7 linked regions of the Coturnix japonica genome follow. Each later gene encodes a partner of the first gene's protein in a complex. Links are inferred from orthologs where the notes say so. Each region holds a gene or a part of one and is shown in the gene's direction. Other genes may lie near its edges. The genes, in order: PPP2CA, ARPP19, STRIP2, INTS6, STRN3, PDCD10 and PTPA.

The links.
Region 2: the proteins of PPP2CA (region 1) and ARPP19 are in contact, whole or in part, in a cryo-EM structure (PDB 8TTB), measured with the Homo sapiens proteins. The link is inferred for Coturnix japonica from reciprocal best matches to the Homo sapiens genes PPP2CA and ARPP19. Residues at the interface, in NP_002706.1 of Homo sapiens: Arg89, His118, Gln122, Gln125, Val126, Tyr127, Tyr130, Asp204, Asp205, Pro213, Arg214, Gly215, His241, Gln242, Leu243, Met245, Tyr265, Arg268, Cys269; in NP_001293124.1 of Homo sapiens: Phe60, Asp61, Ser62, Gly63, Asp64, Tyr65, Asn66, Met67, Lys69, Ala70, Lys73, Ile92, Pro93, Thr94, Pro95, Leu98, Arg101.
Region 3: PPP2CA (region 1) and STRIP2 share a complex: the UniProt entries of both Homo sapiens proteins name them as parts of the core of STRIPAK complex. The link is inferred for Coturnix japonica from reciprocal best matches to the Homo sapiens genes PPP2CA and STRIP2.
Region 4: the proteins of PPP2CA (region 1) and INTS6 are in contact, whole or in part, in a cryo-EM structure (PDB 8RC4), measured with the Homo sapiens proteins. The link is inferred for Coturnix japonica from reciprocal best matches to the Homo sapiens genes PPP2CA and INTS6. Residues at the interface, in NP_002706.1 of Homo sapiens: Arg89, His118, Val126, Tyr127, Pro172, Trp200, Pro203, Asp204, Asp205, Arg206, Gly207, Gly208, Trp209, Ile211, Pro213, Arg214, Gly215, Tyr218, His241, Gln242, Leu243, Val244, Met245, Glu246, Tyr248, Asn249, Trp250, Cys251, His252, Arg254; in NP_036273.1 of Homo sapiens: Leu20, Gly21, Thr22, Asp26, Lys29, Gly30, Glu33, Lys78, Asn79, Gln81, Asp575, Glu576, Asp577, His580, Ser581, Val582, Pro583, Ile584, Ala585, Met587, Gly588, Asn589, Tyr590, Tyr593, Leu594, Met626, Met627, Ile628, Asp629, Glu630.
Region 5: PPP2CA (region 1) and STRN3 share a complex: the UniProt entries of both Homo sapiens proteins name them as parts of the core of STRIPAK complex. The link is inferred for Coturnix japonica from reciprocal best matches to the Homo sapiens genes PPP2CA and STRN3.
Region 6: PPP2CA (region 1) and PDCD10 share a complex: the UniProt entries of both Homo sapiens proteins name them as parts of the core of STRIPAK complex. The link is inferred for Coturnix japonica from reciprocal best matches to the Homo sapiens genes PPP2CA and PDCD10.
Region 7: the proteins of PPP2CA (region 1) and PTPA are in contact, whole or in part, in a crystal structure (PDB 4LAC), measured with the Homo sapiens proteins. The link is inferred for Coturnix japonica from reciprocal best matches to the Homo sapiens genes PPP2CA and PTPA. Residues at the interface, in NP_002706.1 of Homo sapiens: Arg89, Gly90, Tyr91, Gln122, Gln125, Val126, Tyr127, Gly128, Asp131, Glu132, Arg135, His191, Asp205, Arg206, Pro213, Arg214, Gly215, Gln242, Leu243, Val244, Met245, Asn249, Asn264, Cys266, Tyr267, Arg268, Cys269; in NP_821068.1 of Homo sapiens: His31, Thr32, Val33, Ser133, Arg134, Phe135, Lys138, Arg141, Asn180, Thr182, Arg183, Arg235, Glu237, Pro238, Gly240, Ser241, Gln242, Gly243, Val244, Trp245, Asp248, Asp249, Phe250, Phe294, Ile295, Met298, Lys299, Thr300, Ala304, Glu305.

The regions. Positions count from the first base shown.
Region 1 is NC_029528.1:2,281,238-2,285,486, reverse strand, and holds the start of PPP2CA (serine/threonine-protein phosphatase 2A catalytic subunit alpha isoform), read left to right. Parts: upstream 1-1,449; 5' UTR 1,450-1,667; coding exon 1,668-1,769; intron 1,770-4,249. UniProt on the Homo sapiens protein: Catalytic subunit of protein phosphatase 2A (PP2A), a serine/threonine phosphatase involved in the regulation of a wide variety of enzymes, signal transduction pathways, and cellular events.
Region 2 is NC_029525.1:7,620,686-7,624,950, forward strand, and holds the start of ARPP19 (cAMP-regulated phosphoprotein 19), read left to right. Parts: upstream 1-1,465; 5' UTR 1,466-1,635; coding exon 1,636-1,680; intron 1,681-3,904; exon of another isoform or gene 3,905-3,927; intron 3,928-3,944; exon of another isoform or gene 3,945-3,965; intron 3,966-4,265. UniProt on the Homo sapiens protein: Protein phosphatase inhibitor that specifically inhibits protein phosphatase 2A (PP2A) during mitosis. Inhibition of PP2A is enhanced when ARPP19 is phosphorylated.
Region 3 is NC_029516.1:795,090-799,116, forward strand, and holds the start of STRIP2 (striatin-interacting protein 2), read left to right. Parts: upstream 1-1,227; 5' UTR 1,228-1,245; coding exon 1,246-1,482; intron 1,483-2,216; exon of another isoform or gene 2,217-2,267; coding exon of another isoform or gene 2,268-2,327; exon of another isoform or gene 2,328-2,559; coding exon 2,560-2,629; exon of another isoform or gene 2,630-2,665; intron 2,666-3,447; coding exon 3,448-3,522; intron 3,523-3,597; coding exon 3,598-3,732; intron 3,733-3,822; coding exon 3,823-3,943; intron 3,944-4,027. UniProt on the Homo sapiens protein: Plays a role in the regulation of cell morphology and cytoskeletal organization. Required in the control of cell shape. Calmodulin-binding scaffolding protein which is the center of the striatin-interacting phosphatase and kinase (STRIPAK) complexes.
Region 4 is NC_029516.1:152,175,915-152,180,042, reverse strand, and holds the start of INTS6 (integrator complex subunit 6), read left to right. Parts: upstream 1-1,328; 5' UTR 1,329-1,726; coding exon 1,727-1,837; intron 1,838-2,038; coding exon 2,039-2,116; intron 2,117-2,729; coding exon 2,730-2,879; intron 2,880-4,128. UniProt on the Homo sapiens protein: Component of the integrator complex, a multiprotein complex that terminates RNA polymerase II (Pol II) transcription in the promoter-proximal region of genes.
Region 5 is NC_029520.1:30,897,362-30,900,861, forward strand, and holds part of STRN3 (striatin-3), read left to right. Parts: intron 1-365; coding exon 366-533; intron 534-784; coding exon 785-925; intron 926-2,078; coding exon 2,079-2,186; intron 2,187-3,500. UniProt on the Homo sapiens protein: Calmodulin-binding scaffolding protein which is the center of the striatin-interacting phosphatase and kinase (STRIPAK) complexes.
Region 6 is NC_029524.1:18,270,924-18,274,966, forward strand, and holds the start of PDCD10 (programmed cell death protein 10), read left to right. Parts: upstream 1-1,243; 5' UTR 1,244-1,393; exon of another isoform or gene 1,394-1,436; intron 1,437-4,043. UniProt on the Homo sapiens protein: Promotes cell proliferation. Modulates apoptotic pathways. Increases mitogen-activated protein kinase activity and STK26 activity. Important for cell migration, and for normal structure and assembly of the Golgi complex.
Region 7 is NC_029532.1:4,127,948-4,132,168, forward strand, and holds the start of PTPA (serine/threonine-protein phosphatase 2A activator), read left to right. Parts: upstream 1-1,421; 5' UTR 1,422-1,510; coding exon 1,511-1,535; intron 1,536-2,746; coding exon 2,747-2,847; intron 2,848-4,133; coding exon 4,134-4,220; intron 4,221-4,221. UniProt on the Homo sapiens protein: PPIases accelerate the folding of proteins. It catalyzes the cis-trans isomerization of proline imidic peptide bonds in oligopeptides. Acts as a regulatory subunit for serine/threonine-protein phosphatase 2A (PP2A).

The DNA.
Region 1 (4,249 bases):
AAACAAGGAACCTTTCCATAGCAGAGTAACCCTAACACCAGGCTCCCATTAACCTATGGCAGGTTTGGGAGCCACCACAATTGCTTTAAAGACAGCAGCAATCACTATTGCAATCCGCATGGAGCACTGCCTAGTGCACATTACACGTGTTTTCTCTGCACATATCAGATAATACGTCACAGGACTTTGGTTGCAGTTTCATAAGCAAGTTAAGATTTTCCTGCTACTGAAGCTTTAATTTAAGAAATTTAAAAAAGAAAAAATCAGAAAGAATTCAGAACCTGAGTTTCACCAGGAATTCCTCTATCTCTATGAAAACAAAAGCTAAATACGGTCTTTAACTTGGCTAGTTAAATAAGAGAGGATTATTGCCTTATGTTCTTTCCAGTTGCTTGTTCAGGATTATTTGGGAGGCAATGAAGCAGTGCCACAGAGCAGATTCTTGCCATTTTTCAACAGATAACACCTCTCCTTTTACAGCTTTAAAATACAAAACCAGAGGCATCTGAGGATGCAAAATAGAGCCCCTGAAGAAAGGCATGCCAAAAAAATGCACATCTTATAGAGAGAGCATGACATGGAGGAACCGAGACCGACTGGTTACAGCAAACATTCCTTCCCCTTTGCTCACTATTTTGTTTCTTTGCCTCAATAGCAAGCAAAGAATTTAACCCTTTCCACTCACTGCAAGGCAAACCCGGCTGGAGACAAGTGACTCCTATTAAGCAGGAAGCCTTTGGTAAGTGGCTAATTCCAAAAGGGCACATTGGGCCAAATTCTGACCCACTTTATTGATTTTGTTGTTCTTTTAACTGATATTTCACACGCTTGATAAGTTACTGTAAGGAAATGCCACACCGGCAGCCCCGTCATTTAGGATGAAGACCACTGCAATACACGTTACACACACCGCACAGCGTCACAGTGTCACAGTGCGGTGCGGGTTGGCAGGGACCTTAGAGATCACCGAGTCCAACCCCGGGATTGGAGCCTCTGTGCTGCAGAGCGGCACTGCTACCACTTGCGCCACAGGGGGATTCGAACCCAAGGCCTCCAGCGTTGCAAAGTAGCGTCCTTCAGCACTGCGCCCTCAGTGTCACACCCCGCTCCCCCACACACCCATGAAGCCGTACCCCACACACTGTACAGCGCTACCCCCTATTTCCCCACCGCTCTCCCTCAGACCCGCCCACAGCCGCGCCCTGCACGGGCGGGAAAAGCTCATGACCCGCAGCTCCTCCCGCGCATGCGCACGAAGCCCCTCACAGCGCGCAAGCCCCGCTCCCCCCAGCCAGCATGCGCCGCGCATGCGCAGCATAGAGCTCCGTCTCTCCGGTCGGGCAGGTCCCGCCCATGTCGCGCATGCGCGGTCCGTCCAGCCTACTGCGCACGCGCCGTCCCCTCCCATGGCGGCGCCGTCCCCTCCCCGCAGTGTAGTGGGGCCGTGACGTCAGCAGCGGCGGCCATTACACGGGCAGAGCGAGGGTCGGAGCGCTCTGTTCGCTGCCGTGCGTTGGGCGCCGCTCCGCCCGCAGCTCCACGACCCGCTGCTGAGCCGCGACCACCGGGATCGCGTCGTTGGGGCCTTTGGGGGGAGCGGCGGCAGCTGGTGGTGAGGGGGAGGAGGAGGCGGAGGAGGAGGGGGCGAGCGAGCGGCTGCGTGCGGGATGGAGGAGAAGGTGTTCACCAAGGAGCTGGACCAGTGGGTGGAGCAGCTCAACGAGTGCAAGCAGCTGTCCGAGGGGCAGGTGAAGAGCCTGTGCGAGAAGGTGAGGCGCGGCGTGGGGAGCGGAGCGGCGGCACGGGGCGGGGCGGCACCTCCGGGGTTGGGCACACGGGGCTGTGAGCAGGACGGATCGGAGCGGTGCCGGGCAGTGGGTCGGCTCCACACATCGGCTCGGTGGGTCGCTCTGTTGGGCTCCGCTGGGCGCTGCTCGCTCTGCCCGGCGCTGGATGAGCCGCGGCCCCTCGGCGGGCATTGCCGCGGCCTGGCCCCGCCTCCCGCCTTTTCATCGCCTCCTAAAATGGCGCCGCTGCCGGGAGCCGCCGCCACAGAGCACGAGAGCCGCCGCCGGGCCCGGCCCTGCCGCTCCGCCATCCGTGCGGTGCTGTGCGGTGACACGGGGAGGCCGTGTAGGGCAGGGAGCGTAGGGCGCGGTGCGGGGCTCCGAGCTGCTGTGAGCACGGCGGATTATTCAGTTATTCATTTACCATACAAATATAGGATCGCGGTTATTTCTAATTGAAGCGGAATTTTAGATCGACCTGGGGAGTCGGGTTTGTTTTTTGTTTTTTTTTTTTCCAGAATAAAATGGCGCTTAGTGACATAAAGCTCGTGTCGCTGTTTATTGCTACGGTGACTGATGGGGATCCGCGCAGCACAATGATGTGCTGTGTGTGTAGTGTAGGAGCGGCTTCACATCGGCAACTGTGCTCTAGGAATTAAAGGAATAATAGCTGCAGTGGTACCCGGTTGTATTGTCCGGTTACAGTCTGTTTCTGAGCGGAATTAAATCCTCAGCCATCATGAGCCATTATTTTCCCTTCAATTACTGGAGGTTTTATTTGTGTGCACCTTTAGATTGAAGGAATTGCCTTTTTTGGGGGAGGGATCTAGAAATCAATGCGTATGGAGGTTATTGATGCCCTCGGTCCTAAAGAAGGCTGCGTGCCTATCACAGGAGGAAACAGGGGTATTTTAAGGTTGGCACCATGCCTTCAAATAGTACAGCGTGTTGGTTTAGAAGCAGATTGTTTCCAGAGGGTTGTATGTGGACTTAGAATTAACTTGCAGTGCTTTTGGCCATACAGGTTCTTGTTGTGTCCCACATTTCAGTCGCCTCATATTCCAGCAACTCAAAATCAAAGCCGTTAGATATAGTTTGTGTGTTTAACGTGGTGTTCCAAGCAAGTAGCAGGTTAGGGATTGTTTCCCTTGTGTGTCTTTAGTGCCAGCACTCTGACTTTTTCCTCGTGTCCCATTTGCCATCACTGATGTGCTGATGGAAGGGCTGAATCCTGGCTGGGTATTTCTAATGTGGTTGTATGGCAATCTGTAAAAACCCGAGGAATAAATGAAATTCTTTGCATTTAGTGGATGCTGTGGATAGGTGAGCAGTAGACATGCCAATAGAAACCGCACAAAAGGCACCATAGTCCTGTTCATAATCTGTGCGAGGATGGAGGTGTCTTCATTTTTTCCTAATGAAGAATTGAATTAGTCTATTTCTGGCTGAGCGTGTAATGTTCATCACCAGAATAGATTCATGACACTAGGAAAGAAAAAGCTGTTCTAACCTGAAACGATTCTGATAGGTTCAAGGCAAGGAATCACGAGGCAGGTGGGCTCTGTAGGAGCAGCAGACTCTGTTGGAGAGGCTGGAGGAATGATAGGTGATGAGCTGCAGGAATTGTTTGGATGAAGGAGTTGAATTAGGTTACAGAAAGCTGCCTGTTCGACTGCTGCATTGAGATGAAAGGCTGCAAGGACAGGAGAGAGGCTGATGTGAGAATACCACTGAGCAGCAGGGATGGTTTGCCACAAGTTGGAGCCAGCTCCAGACCAAAGGTGGAATGTCTTTGGGCAGCATGACACTGTGCTTGAGATAAAGCTCCCTCTCTATTACTCGGTTGAGGTCAACACTTTGTGAGGTACATCCAGGCTGTTTGTATTAAGGGTGATAACTACTGGTGGATTTACCAGCCCCTGTTAGTGGTAGGTGAGATGCTGTGTCAAGCTTTCCATTGTCCTGTCCCCCCCATGGGTTGCTGTGTTCCCAAAGCAGGGCATTAGTTGAATTCTGTGCCTGTCTGCAGAGGTTCCTCATTTATCCTGTTCCCAGGCTTCCAGCACCAGCTCTCTGCAGTACTGAATTATGATTCGTGTTTTGATTATTGTCTGCAATCACACCCAAAGGTTATGATTTTCCATAGAGAGCTTAGATGTTAAGGGTGGTGTCAAACATAGTCACTGTTTCAAATGATGGGTGCAGACCCTATCTGACAGAAGCTGTCATTCCTCACTGCTCTGAGCTGTAGCTACGATAGAAAAAAGTAATCCCTCTTGTGAAGGCTTTTCCCCATAACATGCTGTTTATTAGGTGATCTTCTGACTGGTATTTCTGGATCTTCTGAGGCTTCGTGTGTGTCTAGTAAGACGAAGCCTGAGGGCTCTGTTGTGTTTCAGTATTGATAGCAGAAGAACACAACAGCTATTTGCAGACACAGTGCAGTGCAGCACAGTAACTCA
Region 2 (4,265 bases), on another chromosome or scaffold:
TCCCCTTGCATTCAGATCTTTGATTCAATTCATTTTTAGCTCCCTCCATTTCTTCCTTTCTAAAAGAGCCACTTTGGTTTCGCTGTCTGTTGGTGTCTCATATAATTCCCACCTTCCACACTTGATTTCTCAGATTGTGCTGAAGGATGTACTGTGCGAACAAACTAATTAGCATTTATATCTGAAATATATGCAAAAGCTATGGAACATGTACTTTGTTTTATTTTTAGATGAGGAGGATCTTCATGTAATCCTGAATATTTTTAATAGGTCAATTCCATGTAGGCCACTAGGTGGCTATCTGAAGTTTTACTAGAGATGCTATGTTGGGCATAGAAATGCTTTCCAATACATGTATTCCTAAAGCAAATCACAGTCAGATGAACAGTTTATGCTGAGTGTTAAACTGTGTAACTGAGAGAAATAAAGCTAGAAGCATTTGATTATATTTGAAGTATATATTTAATAATGAAAACGAAGCTTTATGATGCTTGCCGAAGATCTCACAGTTTCTCTGCTGTTTTACCCTGGATGATGTTTTTCCTTCCATCTCAATGCTTTTTCATGGCGTCAGTCATGTGAAAGGTGACCTTTGTGTTTGGGAGTGGAACGTCCTTATCTGATGAAGGCTGGAGAAGCAGTGAATGTGTGTTGTGCATTCAGTGCTGCTCTGAGATGAAGTGACGAGTCAGAGCACTGAGAAACCTGCAGGAAGGGAGAGCAGACCTTCCAGGTGATACAACTCTTGTGTTTCCAATGACTGCTGCTACAGAAGGGCAAAACCCAGATATTACTGAGCCTGTTTCCAGCTGGAGCACTATTTTTGCCCTGTTATGGTGGGTGTTCAAAGATCAGCATTTGTTTTAATGTAACCTGGGAGACGTTGTACAAGGGCATTGTTTGCAGTTATTGAACAAGGGAATTAATTGCAGTTATTGTACAAAGGAATTGCTTGCAGTTGTTGTACAAAGGAATTAATTGCAGTTATTGTACAAGGGCATTGTTTGCAGTTGTTGTACAAGGGAACACTTGCAGTTTCCAGTCATTTGAGTGTCCTGCAGAGCTGAAGATCTTTTGGCAGCCCAAGAGTCAAATACAACTGCAATTGCACTGCACGTGTAACCAGGACCTAATGTAGTATCATGGGAACGCACCCTAGTTTCTCTGTATCTGATGTTCAGCCCAAGCAGACAGCGTGTATCCTACAAGTACTTACCCTGTGTATCCTACAAGTACTTACCCCGTGTCTCCTACAAGTACTTACCCCGTGTATCCTACAGGTACTTACCCCGTGTATCCTACAAGTACTTACCCCGTGTATCCTACAAGTACTCACCCTGTGTCAAGGTTCTCGCACTCCCTCCCGCCCGGGCGCAACTCCCGACATCCCCGCAGCACTTCCGGTATCTCGGCCCGGCTCCCGGCGGACCGGAAGTGCTGCGTGACGTACCGTGGGCCGTGCCCATCGCCGGAAGTGCCCGCCGAGAGTTGCATTGCGCGCGGCGGGCGCTGAGCGGAGGAAGTGTGTTCCCGCCGGCGCGCCGTCCTGCCGGCCGCCATCTTGTGCGGAGCCGGAGTTGCGCTGCGCTGCGCGGAGGAGCGGCGCCCCGCCCGCCGTGCTGCTGCCGCGGCGCCATGTCTGCTGAGAGCCCCGAGCCCGCCTCGGCCGAGGAGCAGAAGGTGGGTGGTGGTGGTGGAGGATCTCCTGGGGGGGGTTGAGGGGAACGGGCCGGCGCGGGGCGCCTCCCTGCCTCCATCCGTGCTTCGCCGAGGCGGAAGGAGGCGGCGGCCCGCGGCACCGTGAGCGGCTCTGAGCAGCACGGGGGGAGGCGGCCCGAGCCCGGGGCCGGGCGGGCGGTCCGCGCTGCCCTCGCTCGGCGTCCGCCGTGGAGCAACGTCACCGCGCCGGGCCCCGTGCTGTGCTGTGCCGTGCCGTACCGTGCTGTGCCGTGCCGTGCCGTGCTCCCGGCGGTACACGGCGCTCCCGTCTGCGCTGGGCGGCCTCGGCCCGCAGGGAGCCCCGGTGCTGCGCCGCGAGGCTCCGTAATAACCCCTCGCTCGGCTCGGGGCGGCCGAGCAACACAGACAAAGGCTGGGCGGCCCGCGCTGCTCTGCGCGTCCAGAGAGCGGCGGCCGCGCTGTCAGCGCTCAGACCGTGGATGCTGGGTGCTGTGGGTGCTGTGTGCGGTGGGTGCTGTGTGCAGTGGATGCTCTGTGCTGGGCTCCGTTCTCGCAGTGCCGGCTCCCGGAGCCGTCCGTGCCGTCTGGGCGCCGCTGAGCGCCGGCTGCTGTCCCCGCTGCTGGCGGAGAAGATAGGAAACGCGGGTGTGCTGCCGTGAGGGCCTACGGAGGGGAAACGGCCCTTCGAGCCGGCGGGATGAAGTTTTTGTTTAGTAATTCACCGCCTGTAATCAGGGAGGGAAGGTTCGGGAGTCAGGATGGAACGGGGCCGCGTGGAGCGGAGGTTGGGCCCCGTTTCCCTGCGGCGCGGAGCTCGCGGTGCTGCCGGCACAGGCTGTGAGCGATCCCGCTCCGTGCCCGGCCTGTGCGGCGCTGCTGGAACGGCGCTGGAACGGGAGCGTGCTGACATGCGGCAGCGCGTTCGTTGTGCCGCCTTCTAGTGTGTTCTGGGGCTGTCGGCAGGACGGCGCTGATGCTGCCGACAAAGTTTGGGGCCGATGTCCTGCAATGTGCTGCTCTGAAACGCTGCTGGCTGCAGGACGGGTGGGATCCCGTGCTGAGCTTCTCGTTTAGCTGTAGTCGGAGCAGCCACTCGGGGCAAATGAAAGTCAATAAATCCTCATTTTCTCTGAGTCCCCGTCATGTGATGTCAGAGCTCCACACTAATACTGTGGCATTGTAACGTTCACCTTCAACAGTGTTTGTCTGGACAAGCAAAATGTCGGGTTGGTGCAGTTAATGCTCAGCTCCACAGTACTTGTCCGACCGACCCGTTCTGCAGTGCCCATTAAAGAAGAATCCCCTAAGGAACACAGGGGCAGTAAGTTGAGACTTCCCTTCCAAGCTGTGCTGCTGCAGGAAGCTCACATGGACGCTCAGTGAAGGCTGATGTCGACTGCAAACATTCCATGAGAGCAGCGCTTCCTGTTCTCTGTGTGAAAACTTGGGATCGTGGCAGGAGGAAGTTGGGCAACAAAGAAACCTTCAGGCAGTGGTGAACGTGTGCTTGTTCAGTGGTGCCGTTTGTGCCTTACCAGCCGGGGTTTGTCAGGAAGCTGGTAGCAGTGGTACCTCTTGTTTGGAGACTGGCTGTTCCCATAACTGCGCAGTTCCAGTGCCGTCATGTTTTTCTCATTTTCTCCTTTATATTCTTGTCTGATGTCTTTCTCTAAAGGGGATGAGCTTTATTCAGAACATGATTGCCCAGGCTTGTTTTTAGCAGTGCAGTTCAGCTGTCCAGCAGATAGCAAACCTCTTGTTTTTCATGAAGATTAAAAGCAGGAGCCATTTTTAGATGTGTTAGGTAACTACTGGCTGTGCTGGTAGCTCGTTTTAATGAAGTGAACAGACCTCATTAGCTGTGCAAAAATTCCCATAGAGAACTAAAATTACAACTTGTGTGGTTGTCACTAGGAAGAAGTGCGTGGTACATCTTGATTTTTCTCCATCAGTTGTCAGTCATTTGGTTGCTGCTTCTATAATAACTCAAGGGAAAACACTGCTAATATGCCATTGGTCTTGTGGGTTTGAGTTAACGCCTTTGTGTTGCAATGATGCATCTCCAAGAGAGCTCAATGCCACGTAGTCTGTGGAAGATAGAAAGGCAGGACAAGCAGGCGATGATCTTCCATTAAAAGCTACCCCAGGTCTCCTCAGTCTATGGATAAAGGTCTTCTGAGCTGCAATTAAACACATCCAGTGCCTTTCTGAATTCATCTGTGTTCTTGGTGTCCCCTGCATCCTTTGGTGAGGAGTTCTGGAGCTTGACTGCACCTTGTTTCTAGGTATTTTTGAACCTGTTCTCAGCTGCTTGTGTCTGACGTCCCAGTCTTTGTCTTTCATCCTTCTTCATGTTATATAGTTTTAGGGGGTCATAGCTGTTCTTGGACATGAAGAGGTGACTGCAGTCTGTATCCTTTTAGCTGCATTGATGCACAACTCAGTATTTGGTGTTTGGTTGCCTGCTGTGTGATGATTTGTCAACCCTGCAAGTCTGCATAAATATCTCCTTTGATGTTCTGTGAATGCGTATTTGTGTGAGCTCTTTATTGTCAGCCCTCTGTTCTTAAAAATATCTCCTTTGG
Region 3 (4,027 bases), on another chromosome or scaffold:
CATGGAGCTGAGTACCTCAACATGGAGCTCTGGATCCCTGCCTGGATCTCAGCGCCCAACACAGAGCTCAGCTCCCCACACTGAGCTCATCGCTGCCCCAGGATCATCTCTCCCGGCAGCTGTGCCTATTTCTAAGCCCTGATTTACCTTCATTTACCTTCCAGGTGATGGGACAAAAATAATAACAATAAAAGAAAGACACCCCCCCCCCCCCCCAAACGGCCTCACCTTTTCCCACCTGTATTTTTAAAGCTCTTCTCCGTGTCATTCTGCTTCTTCTCCTGTCAGCTTTTCCGCTTGCTTGGCTTTTCCTAATCAATCTGGAATTATAATATTCTGTGATCATCTCTAAATTAAAACGTGTAATTTTTATTTTAATTTTTTTTCTTTTTTTCTTTTTTTTAACGTTTTTAAAGATTTAGGAAAAGGAGATTTTAGGGAACACCAGCAAAATCATGTTAAGGAGAATAAATCAGTTGAGATCTTTAGAAACAAATGAGACAAAACCCATCATGGTTGGCTGCGGAGAGGGCAGCAAAACTTGGAGAACATTTTCAAAAGGATGTTTTAATTATTGATGTCTGAGTGATTGTATTAGAGCAGCAATAAAGACTCTGTAATCTCGAAACAGAAATAAAATGTTGGAAAACCGATGTGCTGCTCCGGAACTGGGGATGAAGGATGGAGTGGGGTGGGGGTGGGGAAGGGGATGGGGATAGAGTTGGGGTTGGGATAAGAGAATGGGATGGGATGGGGATGGAGATAGAATGGGGATGGGGATGGAGATAGAATGGGGATGGGATGGAGATGGGGATGGGGATGGGATGGAGATGGGGATGGGGATGGGATGGGGATGGGATGGGGATGGAGATGGGGATAGAGTTGGGGTTGGGATAAGAGAATGGGATGGGATGGGATGGGATGGGATGGGATGGGATGGGATGGGATGGGATGGAGATGGAGATGGGGATGGGATGGGGATGGGACCCCAAACCCCTTCTGTATGTGGGACATGTTTGCTGAATGGCGCCAGTTTGGGGTCGCTGCCCCCCCCAGCCCCCTGCCCTGGGGCAACCACCATCTCCCACAGTACGGGGTCACCCCATGCTCCCCCCAGCCCCATCTATGGGCACCCACACGTGCCCCCCCAGCGCCCCTTATTGCAGTGTCCATCATCTCTACGGTGCCCCCCAACCCAATAGCAGAACGGGGTGAGGAGGTGTGTCCTCCAGCCCCGCCCCCTCCATGCAACAGCCAATAGGAGCGGGGGGGCGGGGCACGAGGCGCGGCCCCCACGTGCGCGGAGGGGCGCGGAGGGCGCAACGCATGGAGGAGGCGGCGGGGGGGGCACCGAACCCGAACCCGAACCCGAACCCGAACCCGAACCTCAACGCGGGGAGGGCCCGAATGGGGCAGCCCCCAGCGCAGAACCCCCCCCAAAAGGGCCGGGAGTTCTTCAGGGGACAGCGGAAGGAGTCCGAGGTGGGGAATGGGGGCATGGAATGGGGCTGGAAGTGCTGAGGAGCTGCGGGTTGGGGGGGGTCGGTCATTCTGGGGGTGGGGAGTCCGAGGGGGTCCTGGTCCGGGGGGGTTCCCTGCGCAGTCCCTGGGGTCACAGCGCCGGTTATCCCAGTGGTGTCCCCAGCCCCTGCATCTCAATGCTCCCCCCCCAGTTCCAATGCTCCCCGCACCCCAACACCCGGGGGCCGATGGCCCAACGGGGGGCGCAGACCCACAGTGGGCTCCTGTGCTGGGTGCGCTGGGGCTTCACCCCCCCCCCCCCCCCCCCCCCCCCCCCCCCCCCCCCCCCCCCCCCCCCCCCCCCCCCCCCCCCCCTCCTCCTTCCATGGCCCCACTGATCCGATTAGTCCTGAATTCCTCCTGGGATTTAGGATCCTGAAGGGGATCCGCAGCCCTGGGCTGCAAAAAAAATGGGGTGAAAAAGCGTAGTTTTGGTGCAGAGCGCTCAGCCCCGTGCTGAGCATCTTGGGGGTACCCATAGGGATGGGGTCGATGTACCTCGCTCCGCCCCACAGCCAGGAGGGAGCGATGGAAGTGCCATCCGTGACCCATTCATGCGTTCTCTCTCCGGGGTTTTACGCTCCAGTTCCGCTCCCGCTGCGGGAAATGGGGGGGGTCGGGGGGGGTCCGCAGCCCTGGGAGGGACGTAGGGAGAAGGGACGGCCCTGGAATTGAAGCTGGGAAGAACTGGGGAGCACACGTGGGGCTGAGTGCGGGGTGGATGCGTGCACGGGGCTGTGCGCTGGATGGAAGCCATGGATTTAAGACGGGAAGAACCGCTGTCCGTGCACGGGGCTGTTTGCAGGGTAAACGCTGCGGGTTTACGTTGGGAAGAACAGGGGTATGTGCTCGGGGCTGCCTGCAGGATGAAAGGCGTGGATTTAAACCGGGGAGGTTTTAGGCTGTGCAGAAATGGAGCTGCACACGCGGGGCTGCTGGGCAGGGTGCGAGCCGTGCATTTAAGCGTGCAGGGGCTGTTTGCAGCCAGGGCCGGCTGCTGTTTTTACGCACCGCTTCCAAACGCGCCGCTCTCCGCAGGGCTCCGTGGATTTCCCCACCGTGGAGTTCGAATACGGGGACGCCGACAGCCGCGGTGCAGAGCTCGCAGGTGGGGCTGTGGGGTGATCCGTGGGGCGGCAGCAACCTGGAAGGGAGAGAGAGGAGGGTTTAATTAACGGAGGGGTTAATAATGGGGTATAGGGAATGTGTAGGGATGATCATATCAGACTACGATATGATACTATGATGATATTGGAAGCAGCATAAAACCCCAAAGCCCGGAGCTGTTTGCATGGAAGCAGTGCTCGACCTGCCTGGCTGCGCGGTGCTCCTGGGGTTTCTCCTTTTGCAAAGTGACCAAATTGGGGCAAAATTACCCTCCAAATGGCACTGCAGGTGCAATGGGGCAGTGGCAGGGGCGGGGGTGAGGTGGAAGTTCCTATAGGTGAGGCTGTGGGGCTGATATGTGGCTCTGGGTCCCGTTTTTTATGCCACACTGGGGTATCCATGCTGTCCCCATTGCCTCATAGCAATGTGAAATGGGTTTGGGAGCAGAGTCAGAACCCGGAGCTCAGTGAAGTTCTAAAATTGCTCAGGGACACTGAGATATCAGCACTGTCCCCACTGTCCCATCGGCACCCACCAGGAGAGCTGCTGTAAGGCTCAAGAGTCCAGGGTCCCATTTGGGTTTTATTGGATTTTAATGCCATGTTGGGATATCTGCAGTGTTCCCAACATGAAATGAGACTGACTGGATGGTTATGGAAGCATTGAGTGGGATCCCAGTGCTCAATGGAGCTCCCAGAGAGCTCCAGGACAACACTGGGGTTCTGCCCCACATCTTGGGCATGTGGGGATATCTCAGAGGAATCTGGTGGTGATGAGGGGTGAAAACCCTTCTGGTAACCGCTGTCTGTGTTCCAGCAGAGCTGTACAGCTACACTGAGGAGCCCGAGCTCAGCACCAACCGGCGATGCTTCGAGGAAGAGTTTTGCCCCCAAGGTATGAGCTCTGTGTTCAGTGCCCCATGGCACAGTGCTGCCCCACAGCCCACACATCACTCTGTCCCCTCTGCAGCGCGGGGTCGGCAGTGGATGGAGCTGGACACGGCGCAGCAGAGGGCCCACGTGCTGCGGCTGCTGGAGGGGCTGGAGGTGGTCAGCAGGGAGCGGCGGCTGCGGGCAGCGCGGGCCATCCTCTACCTGGCACAAGGTGAGCACCTGGCCCAGCTCCGTCCCAGGGAGGTCCTGGGGGGTCCCAGGGCAGCACTCGCTGACCACGTTCCTCCCTGGGCCTCCCCAGGAGTGTTTGGAGACTGTGAGAGCGAAGGCGATGTCCTGCACTGGTCACGGCACAACAGCTTCCTGCTGTACCAGCTGGGCACCTTCAGCGCCTTCCTGGAGCTGCTCAGTATGGAGATCGAGTGAGAGGACGCCACAGCTCCCACCTTCCTCACCCTCCTCTTTGTCCTATTCTCCTCCACACCTCCCTCTTCATCTTAGTCTTT
Region 4 (4,128 bases), on another chromosome or scaffold:
ACTGAAGAAACATAGTTGTCAAATTTCATTACCCCCCCCCCCACCACTCCAAATAAGAGAGTTTTGTCACTGATCTCATAGGACTTCTGCTGGAGATTCTTTAGTGGCTCCTAGCAGCGACCCAGGATAAAAGACAATATCCTCGACGCTGCCCCAGTGCCTCAGGATGGATGGCACAGGTCACAGGTGCCAGTAGGAAAGGCAAAATATCTATTCACAGGCACAAGGACACACCTGTAATGAAAATGTGATTCCACCTCTGTCTTTCCAACCTTCCTAGAAACTAAATGCTAATCTTCATTAGTCTTTAAAAAAGAAAAAAAAAAAAAAAGAAGCCCAAAACAGCTCTTGCCTAACAAGACAGAAATGTTGCCTGGAAGAATGAAATGATTCAAACCAGGACGCTGCCAATTTTATCTTAAGAAGTACAGTGGCTTCGTACCTTCTAGAGAACGGCTGTGGGAGCACATCAGCTGGATCAGGGGAAAACATCAGCCAGAAAGGAAGCAGCACAATCTCCTGAACAGATAATGCTAAGAAATGGCTCTGGAGTCAGCGCTCCAAGGCTGGGAGAGCAGGAACAGCACAGACACAATTGTGGGGAAAAACAAACAGAAACCTCCAAAGGACGGAGAGCTCAATCTTCAGCATTAATTGGCTGGAAAGACTCCACAACGATGTGATTTATAGTAAATTCGGAGTGCCTGAGCACGGATCAAAGGGACACAGCAGTGTTAATCTCTGCCTGCGCGTAGGGAAAAGGTCACAGTTAAGGGCAGCCCGTTTGTTTTTTTTTAATCTTTTTTTTTTTTTCACACCAAGTGAAACTGCAGAGCGGCTCTATGGGAATTCACCACACAACCAGCCCGGCCTCGCGGTGTCCCCTCACAGCCAGCGGGGCGGTCCGTGGCTCTGAACGCCTTTAGGACCCCACCAATGCCCTCCAAAATCAGGAGAGCACCGCCCTACACGCCTCGGGAGGCGATGAGCGCTAAGCAACGCCACGGGGTACGGCAGAACGGCGGCCTCGAGGGGCTGTGGGCTGATACGGGGCTGATATGGAGTCACCCCGCCGCCCCTCACCCCACCTCCACTGCGCATGCGCGGCGGCGCCGCTCCCCCCCACCCTCTCCCACAGCGGCTCCATCCCCCCCAACCCCGCCCTCCCCCGGCGATTTGAATATGCTAATGAGCGGCCTACCGAAGCCCTATGGCGGGGCCGGGAGGCGGTCACGTGGGGCGGGGACGTGTCCTAAGGGGGCGTGTCCCGACCTGCCCAGGCGCCCTTAAAAGCGGGCGGCGAGCGAGGAAGCGCCTCAGTCAGAGAGAGAAAGTGGCGGGGTGGGCGGGCTGCGGCCGGTCCGCCTGAAACTTCTGAGTAACATCAACAGGGGGAGGGGAGGGAGGGCGGCGGTGGAGGAGGACGGTGGTGGCGGGGGGGAAGGTTAGCAGCAGCGCAGCCCTCCCCGCCGCTCCCGCAGCACCCGGCCCGTGCCGGGCTGGGCAGGCCCCTCACACAAAGGAGGGCAGGGCAGGCAGCGCTGCCCCCTTCCCCCGCCTCGGCAGAGGGGCAGCGGGAGGCCCTTCCCGTGCACAGCACTCACAGCCACTCGCTCCTCTCCCGACCCCGGCTGCCTCTCCTCCTCCTCCTCCTCCTCCCCCTGCTCTCCCGTCTCCCTCCCGCCCGCTGTCCATGTAGCCGCCCGGCCGCCGGCCCCTCCGCACTATGCCCATCTTACTCTTCCTGATAGACACGTCCGCCTCCATGAACCAGCGGGCGTACCTCGGCACCAGCTATCTGGACATAGCCAAAGGCGCTGTAGAGACTTTCATGAAGGTACCGGCGCTGCCTGGCGAGAGGAGGCGAAAGCGAGCGAGATGGGGAGGGGGCGGCGGGGGGCTGCGGGCCGGGGGCGCGGGGGCTGCGGGAGAGACCGGGAGGGGGGTCGGGGAGGGAGGGGAGGGCAGTGCCGCGCCTGGAGGGGGGAGATCCGGCACCTCCTCTCGCCTCACCCTCCGCTTTGTCCCCGCGCCGCAGCTGCGGGCCCGGGACCCGGCCAGCCGCGGCGACAGGTACATGCTGGTCACTTTCGAGGAGCCTCCCTACGCCATCAAGGTAACCCCGCTCCCCCCTCCCTCCACCGCCGCCCCCCGGCCCTCCTTCCTGCCCCGCCGCACCGCCCCTTCAGTCGGGCCGGGCCGCGCGGCGCCGCGCACGCACGGCTTCGGGCAGCGGCGGCGGCGGCGCTGACATCAACATGGCCGACATTTTTTTTTATATATCCCCCGTGTGGTGTGTGTGTGTGAGCGGCAGGAACTGTGGGGGAGGTGTGCTCAACTTGGGAGAAGTGACAGCAACTCCGAGGAGAGTTCGGCGGGGAAGGGGAGGGAGGGGAGAACCCTCCGGGGCGGGGGCTGCGGGACGCGGGGGGGTATGGGGGGTGAACCCGCTGGGCATCGCCTCTGTGGGGTCGTGAGCCCGGTGTGTAGGATTCTTAGTGTGTGTGGCTTCGTCCCTTGTAAGAAATACTCGATGAACGCAGAGCATTTCATGCTCTTTCAGTCCGTCTTTTCAGGCTCTACGAAATGCTACTGAATGCTGGTAACTTCCGAGGTGTTCGTTTAGCGTTGAAGGGAGACGCTGTAGCCAACAGAAAAGCCCGATCCCGTAGGAGGTTCCCGTCCCGAGCTCATTCCACCAATAAGCCTTCTCGCGTTTCTCTTTTCAGGCTGGCTGGAAGGAAAACCATGCGACGTTCATGAATGAACTGAAAAACCTTCAGGCTGAAGGACTTACAACTCTTGGCCAGTCCCTAAGAACAGCTTTTGATTTATTAAACTTAAATAGATTAGTAACTGGCATAGACAACTATGGGCAGGTAGGTTGACTGGTAATAGGTGGAAAAATCATAAAACACACGTTTCCCGTGGTTGCCCAAAGTAGTGTCTTCATGAAGCACTCAATACAGGGGCTTCATAAAAAGCAAGCAGAGTTCAGACAGTCTGAAGAAGTGTAGGTACTAACTACAGTTCTGTACCCAGCTATTACCTCCTATTCTCCTCATTACTCTCTTTTTAAACTACTATGTAAGCTGCAGTTGACCTTCTCAGTTAAACTTTGTAGTGTTTTTTTTTGGTGACAAATTCCAGAACCTTAACTGATGAGCCCAATGAGGCCTTCAAAACATTGATTTCTGTATATAGTGCTGTATGATCAGTTACGTACAATTTGGGAGATGGGCTATTTTGTCTGACAGCACTAAAGCACCTAAAGTGCTAAGCTGAGCACATCTCTTTTAAAGCGTTATTTTCCAGTGAGTTTACTTCAACACTTCTCTGAATACCTCTCTTTTCATATTCATGTTTATAGTAGAACCTTAGGAAGCTCTGATTTTCAAATGCTTGTATGGCAGCTGTCCCTTTAAGGCAGAACTACTACTGGGAAGGTCCAGTGTTCCCTTGCTCAGTAGTATGACTTGCTACAAGCCCTTAACTCTAGGTTAAAATATGCACTTTAAGAAGCATACCCAATTCTTTGTGGCACTGGATCAGACCCTGGATTTGTTTTGCATAGAAGATGTTACCAGTACTGGGCAAAGTATACCCTGTATCTTTCACGTGGGATGTGCTAAAGTCAATCTCCCCTTTTCGTATCTTTTCTCATGTAATGTTTCATCTGCTCTCTGAGGATTAGTTACTGCTCTTGGTATTTACCATGGGGATGTGGCTGTGAAAATAAGTCCCTGTTTTCTCCCTCCCTTTTCCCCGTCTGAGTGCGGTTTATGATAACACGCCATGTTTGTTTAGGAAGGAGGTCTATCTCATGTTGCACTGTATGGCTTGCCCACTAGGTGATTAAGTGAGTCTAAACATTTTTAGAATGCCAGTTTGGTGATGAAACTTCAAAGAAAAAAAAGCTAGTTCCACACATGGCTAGTTTTTCTTGTCTATTACCATCTGCTGTCCTCTTCTGTGTACTAATCTTTCCCATTTTCTGCCATTTTTCTTTGTTACATTAGCAATGCAAATCTTCTTGAAACATCTACCATAGCAGATACATACATGGAATACGTGCTCTTTACTGTTTCTATTGATAATGAAGAAATATGTGAAACCCGTGTCATATAA
Region 5 (3,500 bases), on another chromosome or scaffold:
TAGAGGAACTCAGAGTTTGAGTAACTGATGAATAGGCTGATCTTTTTTGTTTTAGGCGCTTTTACATCTTGCACAAAGAAAAGGCTGCAGTAAAGAATCTTTAAGTTAGTAAATTTAGATGAAGGAAGCAAACCTCTCAGAGAGGAGGTTATAACAAATGTTTCATATATCAATACTTTTAGATTTTCCTACTACTGATATTCAAAGAATAGATGAGTATAACTAACAGATCTGTAAGAACACAGATGTGGTAAATTACTTATCAGTATTTTAGCAAATGTGACACATAGCTGTTTTACTTGAAATATTATTTATATTGAAATGCTATAAATACTTATTTGGTTTCTGATCTTTTGTCTTTCCAGAGCCAAACGTTCTAGCTGGCACACTAGTTGCTCACACAGATGCAGTCTGGGGTCTTGCTTACAGTGGTGTTAAGAATCACTTACTATCTTGTTCAGCAGATGGCACTATTAGATTATGGAACCCACCAGAAAAAATGCCCTGTATTTGCACTTACAATGGAGAGAAAGGTAAGTTTTTTGCTGGGAAATTTTGGTTTTGAAAATTTGTTATGAGATATCTGATGAAGTTCTTGGCTTGTCTCCATTTTTCAAAGCTAGTTAACACGACTAAAGAGAGATTCTTTTAATAAAATAATCCTGATGCTGTGGTGTTATTCTGAAGGGAGCAAATTAAGTATGGGTAAGCTTAATGCTTATGTTGTTAAGAATGTTAAGATGTTCTCTTGTTGCTAAAGGCATTTTTTTTCCTCACTTTTTAGAGCATGGAATACCTACATCAGTTGACTTCATAGGTTGTGATCCTGCTCATATGGTGGCATCATTTAACACTGGCAGCACAGTCATCTATGATTTAGAAACATCTCAGTCAGTGGTAATGCTTTCATCCCAAGTAGAATCTGGTAAATAAAGCTCTTTTCTATTAAGTATTTAACTTGAATGAAGTGCCTGTATGAAAGTTTTATCATGTGGGAAGTAAAAAAACAATAATACAATTATTACTTACAATAATTACTTACAAAAATTGCTTACAATAATAAGGGATTTCAGCAAAATATTCAGTGTAGAATCTGTCCAGATTGTGCTTCAGTTCTCTCTTATGGAACATGTAATATTAGAAATTCTGTTGCTACAAATAAGGTGTTACATAACTTGTTGTTGATAATTGTATATAGTTGATGAGACTCTAAATAGAGGACTTGTCTTCAGTACTTCATTTTCTTGAATCTATGGAAGTGTTTCATAAAGAAAGCGTTCAGTTTCTGATTATTCAAATCTTTGCAAATACATCTAAAAGAGTAGTGCAAGGGAAGAATTTGCTTTTCCTCTCCAATTAGTCCAATTCACTTAGTGATTGTTCTTATAGTATCAAGTAGCATGTAGATAAGATAGCTTTTGCAGATTTTTATAACATGTGCTGAAGCCTATACTCTGGGTATTGTGCATAGCTGACACTGACAGTGAGAAGCACCATTGCAGATTGGAGAGATTCCTTTCCTCCTTTAAGAGAATCTCAAAAGAAATCAACAAAACAAGAATGAAGGAAACAATCTTTAAGGCAGGAAGTGTATTATGAGGACTATTCTGAGAACTTACGAAGATGCTCTAAACTTTCAGTATTTCTTTAAGCTGAAATACATAAAAATAATATCTGCTGGAATCTTGTAGGTTAGGTTGAGTTTAGATTTTTTGTTTGTTTATGTTCAAGATGTATTTTTTTTTTATATGAAGGTATAAGAGTTGTGTTCTAAATATATGGGCGATTTGTTCCTTTCCTTATTTGTTTGCCATCCATCTGAACAATCTTTCTTATGTGTAAACCAGCTGTGCAGCTTTAACCTTAAAGTACATTGGCAGGAGTATACCTGGCTTAATCTATCTTCTGTTAAGGCAAGATGGTGGTTATTATTAGATGTGTTGATGTTGTTCTGAGGGTGTTTCTTATATAATGTTAATACAGTATGGTAAAGTGGAATGCTAGAATATTTTCATTTTAGCTTTAGCCATTTCTTTAAGGCAAATGAGTATATGTTTGTGGTTTTTTTTTAATTTCAGGTGTACAATCAAATAATCACATTAACAAGGTAGTAAGTCATCCCACACTTCCTGTTACTATTACAGCTCATGAAGATAGACACATCAAATTTTTTGACAACAAAACGGGTAAGGGTAAAGAGACCCTCATGTGAATGTATGAATATGTTCCAAGTAGATCTGGATGGATATAGGAAGAATCCATTTGTAGAGAATATACTAGTGACCAGGACTTGATGTTGTTCCAAGATTAACTTTTATATGAAATTATGCCATCCCTTGCAACTGTGACTTCAGCAGTCAGAAACATTCCCTTATACAGAGATGGTTATGGCAGGCCAGAATATCCTTTTAAATTAGCAAGATGTTGATTTATAGAATATCTCCACTATTTTATTCCTGTTTTCACCATTTCCATGCTTATCACTCCAAAGTTATCACTCAGTTATATTTTCAATTCTCAGTCATAAAAATCATTACTTGGTACTGAGACAAGATATGGCCCTTAATTCATTGTAGCAGTGGAAGCCTTTGTTATATTTAAGTTGTTGGTTAAGTTCTATTCGACTTCAATTTTTGAATCAGCTGTCATTTTCTGTGTGTTATCCTACTAAGCAGGAAGAGGGGGGGGAAAAAAAAAAAGCATAAACTGACTTCTGTATGTATGTGTGCAAAACCCCTGTTTAAAATGTCTGCTTAGGAGATGAAGAGGGGTGTTATTCTGGTATTTTTGTTTTGGTTTTATTAGCTTTCTGCCTTTAAAAAGAAAAGGATAAGATGTTTTTTCCCCACTTCTTCTCACCTGTGGTCATTAAATATGCTGAAATGATTACTCCGAAATTCAAATGTATTACCAAGTCTTTAAAAGTAACAAAGGAAGATATGGCATGAACAAATAACTGCGTTAAAGACTGGAAATGGAAAGTGACCAGGAAGAAATGGAGATCCTTGTAGGCTTGAGAATAAGCACATTAAATTCTGTGTGGAAAAATGTGTGAGGGAAAGGAATAGCCAACAAAATCAGTTAATATATTGTATGAGTTCCTGATGCATACATACTTGTACTTTGTGTTAGTCTCCTATTGCTCAAAAAAGGATATAGCAAAAAAAAGCGTTTCAAAGAGTGGTTTAACATATGAGAAATGACAAATTGGGCTAAGATTCTTCAGGAAAAGAGAACTGGATAAAGATGACAGAACTTTTTCATGTTGGTTATGGTCTTACTGTGGACTTGTTAGCTTACTCTCTTTTCCAAAACAAGAACTAAGGTTCAACTGACAAAGAGTCCAGGGGAAATGGCACAGAGTAGTTGGATATGCAGGTAACCACTTAGGTTTGTAATGTAACTGAACAGTTAATTTTAGAAGTTGGAGAACATCTTGTATCTAAAGTACCACTTAGTTGTCCTGTTAGATGGACCTTTGATATTACCGAGTATGTCTT
Region 6 (4,043 bases), on another chromosome or scaffold:
GAGCATATTAAGTAAATCTAGGAAAGCATCATTAAGCATTACTTATGCTGTGACTTAAAGTAAAATACTAGCACCAGTAGGACTGCAGCTTCCTAACATCACTTTACAACCACTAAGGAATGACAATATCATAGATGCATATGCACCTCAACCCATGCTATAATGCTTCTGTGTCTGTCACACAAACTAAATAGCAAGGCTTTCTGCTGGATTAAAGCACTGATCGCATCAAAATAATTGAGGAATCAAAGACAAATACTCCGCATACACAGTAAAGCATGACAAATCTAGTAGTTGTTTTCTAGCATCCTTCCTTACCTACATGCAGATGGTGGGCACTGGTAGCATGTATGGGTAGCACACACAAGGGCTCTGCTCCCACACATATATCAGTATCTTCCCATTTCACCACCTCGGCGCTGCAAGGAGATGCAGCTGGCATTCAGGAGCACCGCGATGCACCGATTCATCACCTGCTTACAGCAAAACCCGCATACGCCTCACCAAAGTAATAACAGTACCAGGAAAAGTTGCAAGCTAACGCATTAGAAACGAAGGCTCAAACCTAGAACTGAGCTGCGTATTGATGGGAATTCATATTGGTTACTAAGAGCTTCACCTTAAAGCTTTCCAATAACTGCGAGCACCAAAAGTAACGCGACCGTTGTCAAACAGCCCATATAGGGGACACCTACAGGGCAACACAAGCCAAGAGATAGAGAGGAGAGAGGCAGCAGCTCAGCACAAGGCTGGGGCAGCTTCGTTCTGCCACGCTCAAACCACGGCTGGGACAGAGCTTCAGGAGACCACAGAATAGCATAAAACACACTCAGGTGGACAGGCTGCAGGTGCCGGGACAGCAGGACGCCACATTATTATTGCTCTCTTCCTTCCCCATTCTCTCCCCACATCACCCACCACCTCCCCTCAGGCACTGACACACAACCCGCACTACGGAGCCACGCAGCTTCACACCGACATCAAACCGCAGGCTGCTCCCGCAACCCTAAACACAGCACCGGCTGAACACAGCAGGCTAAAGGCACTTACCACAGCAGCAGCTCAACACCACCCCCCTCCACTGTGAGAAGTGCAGCCGCTGCTCCCCGCGCCGGGATATGCCACCGCGCCCCGTCCAGGCCTCGCCCACCCGTCCAGATTCGAGCTCTGATTGAATAGACTCTACTCCTATACTCCTCCTCATTCCCTCCTACCCGCCCCTTTTATCGCCTCGTTGCATTGTTGGTGTTGTAGTTGAGGAGAGAGGACTACGAATCCCAAGTATCCGAGCGGCTGCCGGTTAGTTCCGGACAACGCCTGGTGTGTGGTAACACGGCGGACGCTTCCTCCTTGTTGGGTTTCCGGCGAGGTGGAGGAGCCCCCTCGGAGCTCGGTGAGCTTTGCGGGGCGGAGAGGTATCGAGGTAAGGCGGTGAGGTGAGAGAGGCTTCGTTTTCTTCTCTAGGCCCATGTCTTTAAAGGGATAAGCGCCTGGAGAGACACAGAGGAAGAGGGTGGGGGTCACCGGTGTAAGGCCTGGGTTTCCTTTTGGGGTTGTGCTATGTTAGAAGCGTTAAACTGTCTCAGGTTTGAGGCTGGGTGAGGGGAGAAACGTTGTTTGCTGCAGGTGTGAGGCCTCGGCCTTTTTCTTCCTACCGCGGGGTGACCTGGCCCAAGGGCTCGTCCTTGTTTCCGCCCTTCCCGCTCGGATCCCTCCTGGTAGGGCCGGGTACCAACCCCCGTCCGCAGCCCTATGGCTGTTCTTGGCAGCGTTAGGCCTGCGTTGTATTTTTAGCCCGGCCTCGTACTGCTGAACGGCGTTGTCAGGGCTGGGCCTGGTTCGCTCCAGGTGGGGCCTTTCGTCTGGGGGAGGATAGAAAGTGATCACGTCGTGCTTCCTCTTTAAACCAAGCTTTAGGCTGGTGTTGTTAAACACCTTAGTGTGCTGTTATATGATTAATGAGTGGCGAGTGTGTGGCCTTCCTGGGGCTTGTCCATATAGGGGGCACAGGTTTGCTGCTGAAGCCTTGAGGCAGGTGGATGTGTTCTTGTTATCAGAGGAACTGATTGCTGAGTGCTGGTTGTTTACCCATTGGGATGTGTTATTGTGTTTGGAGCTGTTTCTGTTTGTGGTTTATCTGTTAGTGGTTGATAGGGCAATGAGAACTGAGTAGTTTTACTTTCAAATTCCCTTGGAAGAGGAAAAGAGCTTGAAAGAGAAACAGGGATGTGTTGTGTTATTCTGTATTGGAGAGGCTTCTTTGTGGCCTTCTAGTACTTAAAAAGAGACATGTTAACAAAAGAGAAATGAACTTTGTCTGCGTGTCAGTAGTGATAGTACAAGAGAGAGATGAAATTAGGGCCTAGTCCAGGCATCTTTTGTTTTTCATGTGATAGGCAGACACAAAACCAAAGTATTAGGGTGTACTAAATAATTTCTATTCTGAACTTCAGACAACAGATTTATTGAAAGCCAGATTTCAGAGTATTTTGAAGTAACCGTCTAAAAATAGGCTTCTTGAATTTACTGCAAGTTTGTGCAACTTAGTCACCCAAATTGGCTTCACAATAATAAAATGCACAAGCAGTTATACTCTGTCAGAGTGAACTCATCTGGAAGTGGCTGTGATAGATGTGCATGCAGGTATTTGAGGAGTACATGTTTGCTCTACTAAGAGGCATTTAAAGATGCCTATTAAACTTGAGTGCTGTTTTCTGATAGTATTCCTTTTGTTATCTCTTTTGGGAAGGTGCTGAATGTAAGCATTAGCTTAATACAGAACCTGTACAGTAGGCTGCTTCTTTAGGTTTCTTGTTGTCTTTATTAGTTTTAGAATACAGAGGTTGTTATCATCATAGCTGCACTTGACACCAATTTCAGTGAATTCAACCATCCTGTCCCCAGCTCTAATAAGAGAAGTAGCTCAGTATTTGAGGCACAGAGGCTTTCAGCTTTGTACTATGCAGTCAAAGTTATACAAGAGGAGTGGTTATGATCTACGAATGGAAGTACTATGTAGGTAACTTCTCTCCGGAAGGGGGGAACTTGTGCTTTTTTTTCCAGTTTATTATGAGCAACCATTAACAAGAGAAACTTAAAGGTACCAAGTTGTGCACAGGGTAGGTACACTGTTAGAACTGCATATTAGCCATGTACTTGGGCTTTACAAATAAAGGCCAAGGTCTTTGCCTCTGAATTTGGGACAGGCCTCAAGTTAAGTGTTTGTTTTTATCCCGTTCTTTCTTACTAAGCTTAAGTTTTTCTGATGGCAAAGATCTTAGTGGATTTTCTCTTAACACAACCTTCTTGAATCCTCCCTACAAGAAGTGGAGTGGAACTTCTTGTTAGTGGGGATAATCTTTCTAGGAGGAGCAGAGCTGTAACTTCTGGTTCTGTCCTAAAAACCAGTCATTGAATTAATCATGCAGGTAGATCAATGCCTCAGGCCTTCTTCCACTTGGTACTTCGCTTAAAAAGAAGGAGCAGGCTTAAAAAGAAATAGCACAAACGTTTGGCTGCTTTAAGATTATCTACATCTGAGGTAAATGGAGCCTGGAGAATGGAATGGAGACAGCACCAGTGGTGTAGGTAGGTGACGTAGCTGAGGAGTGAAATTCTGCCATCTGGAACTTCATGTTTCCATTGTTTTCCAACTTCTTTCAAGTTCCAAGCATAACACTCTGTCTTCTCTTTAAACATGCTTTCAAAAGGTAGTATGAAGCAAAATACTTTCTTTCATAGACAAGTAGATTGTTTTCACACTGACCAGTGAGCAAAGGTGGATTTGGGAAAGTTTCTGCCCTTCCTGGTTCTTCTGCCACTTGACTTTTAAGTGCCTGTCAGAAAATAGCATAGATGAGAAAAGCAAGTTTGTGTCTTGGGCACTGGTAACAGTAGCTGTACATTTTGGGAAAGTGTGGAGTTTCTTGCTTTTCATCTTCCTGCTTTACAAGAAGTTTATCTGAATGTAGGGTGTTGTGTTGTTTTTTCCTTTCAGGCAGTTCCATTGAATGATTGAAAACCTCATTGGGTGGATTTGGAGG
Region 7 (4,221 bases), on another chromosome or scaffold:
TAAAGGTATCTCCAAAGCAGAGCAGCAACAGAATGATGCAGTCCCGAGGATTATTATGCTCCTCTGAGCAACCATGGGGCAGACAGGGTGTAAACAAAGCTAAGATCACATCTGATGACTCTGAGCAAACAGGGAAAACTCCCCACTAAATTAGCTGAAAACAGGTAGATCTGTGTTTTCTCTTTTATGTCTGTCCTCTGCTTGTTTGGATTGAGGTCCAACTCAAACATTTGATGGGAGGAGGAGCAGCGATCACAGCTGAACAGAGGAGGCAGCTGGCAGCAGAGATAGCGAGTCGCCTTCCTCTTCCCCACAAGCACCAGGGAAACAAACACCAGCAGAGCTCTGTGTGTGTGGATGGGCCCAGCTTACAGGCTGGCAATGCTCCCAGGCCACGTTCCAGTATAACCGATGACCTTTTCCAGTGTGTAAAGCCGATGGGAAGTCCACCTGCAGGCTTGGGGGGGGCGGGAGGAATTTCAGAGCGGTGTCTGATTCCCAGCACAGCCAGAACGTGTCGTGTCAGATGACAGGTGTATGTTTGTCTTTTTATATTAGAAACTGGAGCCTCCTCCAGCCCTGAGAAACCATCTCATGGGGTGAATCCACGCTGCCTCCTGCCCTGAGGTCTATCAGTGGTGTCAGTGAGCTCTGACCAAACCAAGGGTTGGGTGCTGCACTTTGGCTTGGGACAGAGTGGATCTGGGGTTTAATGTGTGCTCAGGGGGTGAAGAAGGCCAAAGGCAGCGTGGTTTGTATCAGCAATACAAAGCAAGGAGCTGACTGTGCCCACATAGTGTCACTGCTGGGGCTGCACCTCAGTGCTGTGCTCAGCTCTGGGTCCCTCACTGCAAGGAAGACACTGAGTGTGCAGAGATGTGCAGTGTGTGTGGGTCTGAGCGGCTGAGGGCAATGGGATGGTTCAGAGCACAGAGGATCATATGGGGAGTCCTGACGGCTCCGTGCAGTCCATGAAGGAGCTGTGTTGAGGTGGGGTGGGCTCTGCTCACAGGGTGGGATGAGAGGAGATGGCCCCACATTGGGGCAGTGCCAGGCCCCAGCCGGGCTGACACCCCTCCCCACCCCTCACACGGGACACCCCCCGCTCCCCCCGCTCCCTTCATGCTGTGATCGAGGCCCAGCTGCCCCCTCACGCTCCATCCCGCCCCTCTCTGCTCTCACTCACCGCCGCTCTGGCCACGCAGCCCAACATGGCTCCTCTCCCGGCCGCCGCCGCCGCCCGCCGCAAGGACACCGGCACCACCGGGCGCCACCGCCCCGCTCGGCCGGCAGGGGGCGGGGCTGCGCGCCGCCATCTTGGAGCGGGGCGAAGCAGGTTCTGCCATTTTTGAAAAGGGCAAAATGTTACTGTAAGGAGAGCGAGTGTGAGGCGGCAACCAGACAGGGCAGGGCGGCGCTTTGCCCGGCTCAAAGATGGCCGCCGGAGGTATCGGCGTTCAAGGTGAAGGGTGAGAGGTGAGGAGTCAGAGCGGCGGCGGCCTACGGGAAGATGGCAGAGAGCGAGCGGCCGGCGGGTGAGAACGGGGGGGACGGGACGGGGATAACGGGGCTAAAACGGGGCTAAAACGGGGGTAACAACGGGGGTAACGGGGCTCTGTGTGGATCTGAGGGGAGCAGGTGGACCGAGCCGCCCCTGGGGCCTGTAGGGCCGGGAGGGCCGGGCCCTTGTGTGGTTCCTCACGTCTGATTCTATCAACCTAAAGTTATGGGCAGCCAGGCTGTGACACCGTCAGCAGCAAAGAGGGGACAGGGAGCTCAGGGCATGGGGGAGTTCTGCCCACAATCATTTCCCTATCTCCATCCATAGCAGGGTCTGTGTGTTTCCCAGCTCCCTTTTCCCTGCCGTGCCCATCACAGGGGTACAAGGGTAGTAGAATAGTAGTACAGTAGTACAGTAGTACAGTAGTACAAGGCCTTCTGAACCTGCAGCCTGTAACAACATTTGGAGTTGTCCCACTGTGTGATGTGGAGCTGTTGCTGGTGTCGCTCCTGGTGCTGAGCAGGCAGAGGTCTGTGTGTTTTATGGGTTTCAAATGATGAACAGAGTGATCCTGGTAGTATTCATGGGTTCACATCAGCCCTTGGTTTCTTTAACAGTGGTTTGCTCTGCTGTCTCGTGCTGTTGGGTGGCTCTGTGTGGAGGCAGGAGTTGGACTCTGATCCTCATGGGTCCTGGATCAAACTGGGATCAAAAGGATCTTGGTAGCGTTGATCTTTAAGGTGCTGCGTTTCAGCATCCTCAGCGCTTCTGGAATGGAGAGTGCTGCTCTGGGCTGCCATCTACTGAGTCGATCCTGTGTTGTCTCTGCAGGAATTGGCCTTCTTAGGGGATTGCAGCCCAGGTGCAGCACCCCGAGAACAGGTGGTTTGTAAGGAAAGCTTAGTGCTTCAGCATGACCCAAGGCTTGTTCACCCTAGAAATAGCTAAACTAGCTGGGTGATGTCACTGCTGGCTCCTGCAGGCTTCTCTCTCTGAATGGGAAATTCATCTTCAGTAGAGACAGTGAACGTAATGCAGCCTTTCTGAAGCCATCGAGTGTCCTCCAGGGGATGTTATTGAGGGGATGCTGCTTGCTGAGCAGGACTTGGTGAGATTGAGGCACGAGCTGGGATGGATTTGTTTGTGTTCAGTCTCCTGGGAAATTAATGTTGCTTTCTAAGAAAGGAAGGTTAGAAGATTGCTTCTACTCCACTGCCTGCTTTACCTCTTTCTTGCATCTCCCAGGCAAGCCAGAGGAGATGGCTCCTCCCATCCAGCAGAGCTTCATGATCCCCAGAAAGGAGATAAACATGGTTTCTGACATGGGCAAGTGGAAGCGCTCTCAGGTATGTCTGTGGGTTCAGGGAAGGCTGGTAAGTGCTTATTACGTTACAGTGGTAGCTGGGTCTGGACTGGTAACTGCCATGAGGTATAAAGCAGGTTTGGGCAAGTTGTGGGAAATTAATGGATGTGTGTTGAAGCAGGAGTTGCTGCCTGATTGTAGGAAAATGACTTGGCAGCGAGGTGTGGAGTCTGGCAGCCAAATGCTCAGACAAAGGAGCCAGGGAGAGCCCAAAGGTTGAGGGGGACAAGAGGTGTGTAAGAATTATTACTGCTCCCTGCCGACATGCCAAGTGGTAACTATTTCACCCTACATAACCTGAATGTTGTGATATACCAGGTTTACCCGATGCTGTCTGAACTCAGCTTGAATTTGTGAGCTGGCTGTCTGGCCCTTACGACATCAGGGTGGGTTGGTTCCTGGTGCCTTCCCGCTGTGCTGTACTGGGAAGGGCTCTAGAGCCAAAGCCTTTAATTTCCTGGGTAATTTTTGTTTATAGTGTCTGTGGGGCTGGTGGAACAGGCAGATTCTCTGTCCTCTGCCTTTAAGACATAGTAGGGATGGGCTGGACTTGTTTCTCCTGTTGGTTCTGCTGTTTAGGAATGAACTCTTGCTTAATGTCTTATGAGAAGCTTAAACTGTTGCCAGCTCTCTAGTAAACTTAGGATTGCAATTCCCCTTATTAAATTTTCTGGGACTAAGGACTTGCTCCTCTCTGGATTTATGTGTGAGGGTCCCAAGGAGCAAGAGTTGGCAGAGTGCTAGTCTAACCATTCCACAGACCCAGAGCTACCAAGCTGTTCTGCATATGATACTTCAGAATCAGCTCGTATAAAGAGCACAGCAGTGAGGAGTTTGGGCCGTCTCCCACTTCATCATACGTGTACACAGGAGAACAGAAGGAGATAATGACAGACCTGGGAGGAGCATTGCAGGGCGGGATGTCTGGACACCATAGAGATTCTGCAGAGCCAGGGAGTATGAATTTGACCTGATAAGAGGCAGGGAGCTGAGAGGAGGATTTCAGGGGCGGCGTGAGCTTTCTTAGAATTCTTCACTCCATAATCTTTTCAGCAATGCAGAGTTGTTGGTGCGATCACCATCTGCCTTCAAGGTCTGCCAGAAATAGCAGTAACCTCACAGCAAGCCCCGTGCCCTGGCTGTCTCCATGAAAGCAGTGCTGTGTTCTGGGAAAGGTTCCCTTGGTGTGCAGGAGCACGATAATGCTGCAGTGCTAATTCAAACAGACTGTGGGTACTCACTGACTTGCTCTTTTGGATGTGTTTGCAGGCATATGCAGATTACATGGGCTTCATCCTCACCCTAAACGAAGGTGTGAAGGGCAGGAAACTGACCTGTGAATACAACGTTTCAGAGG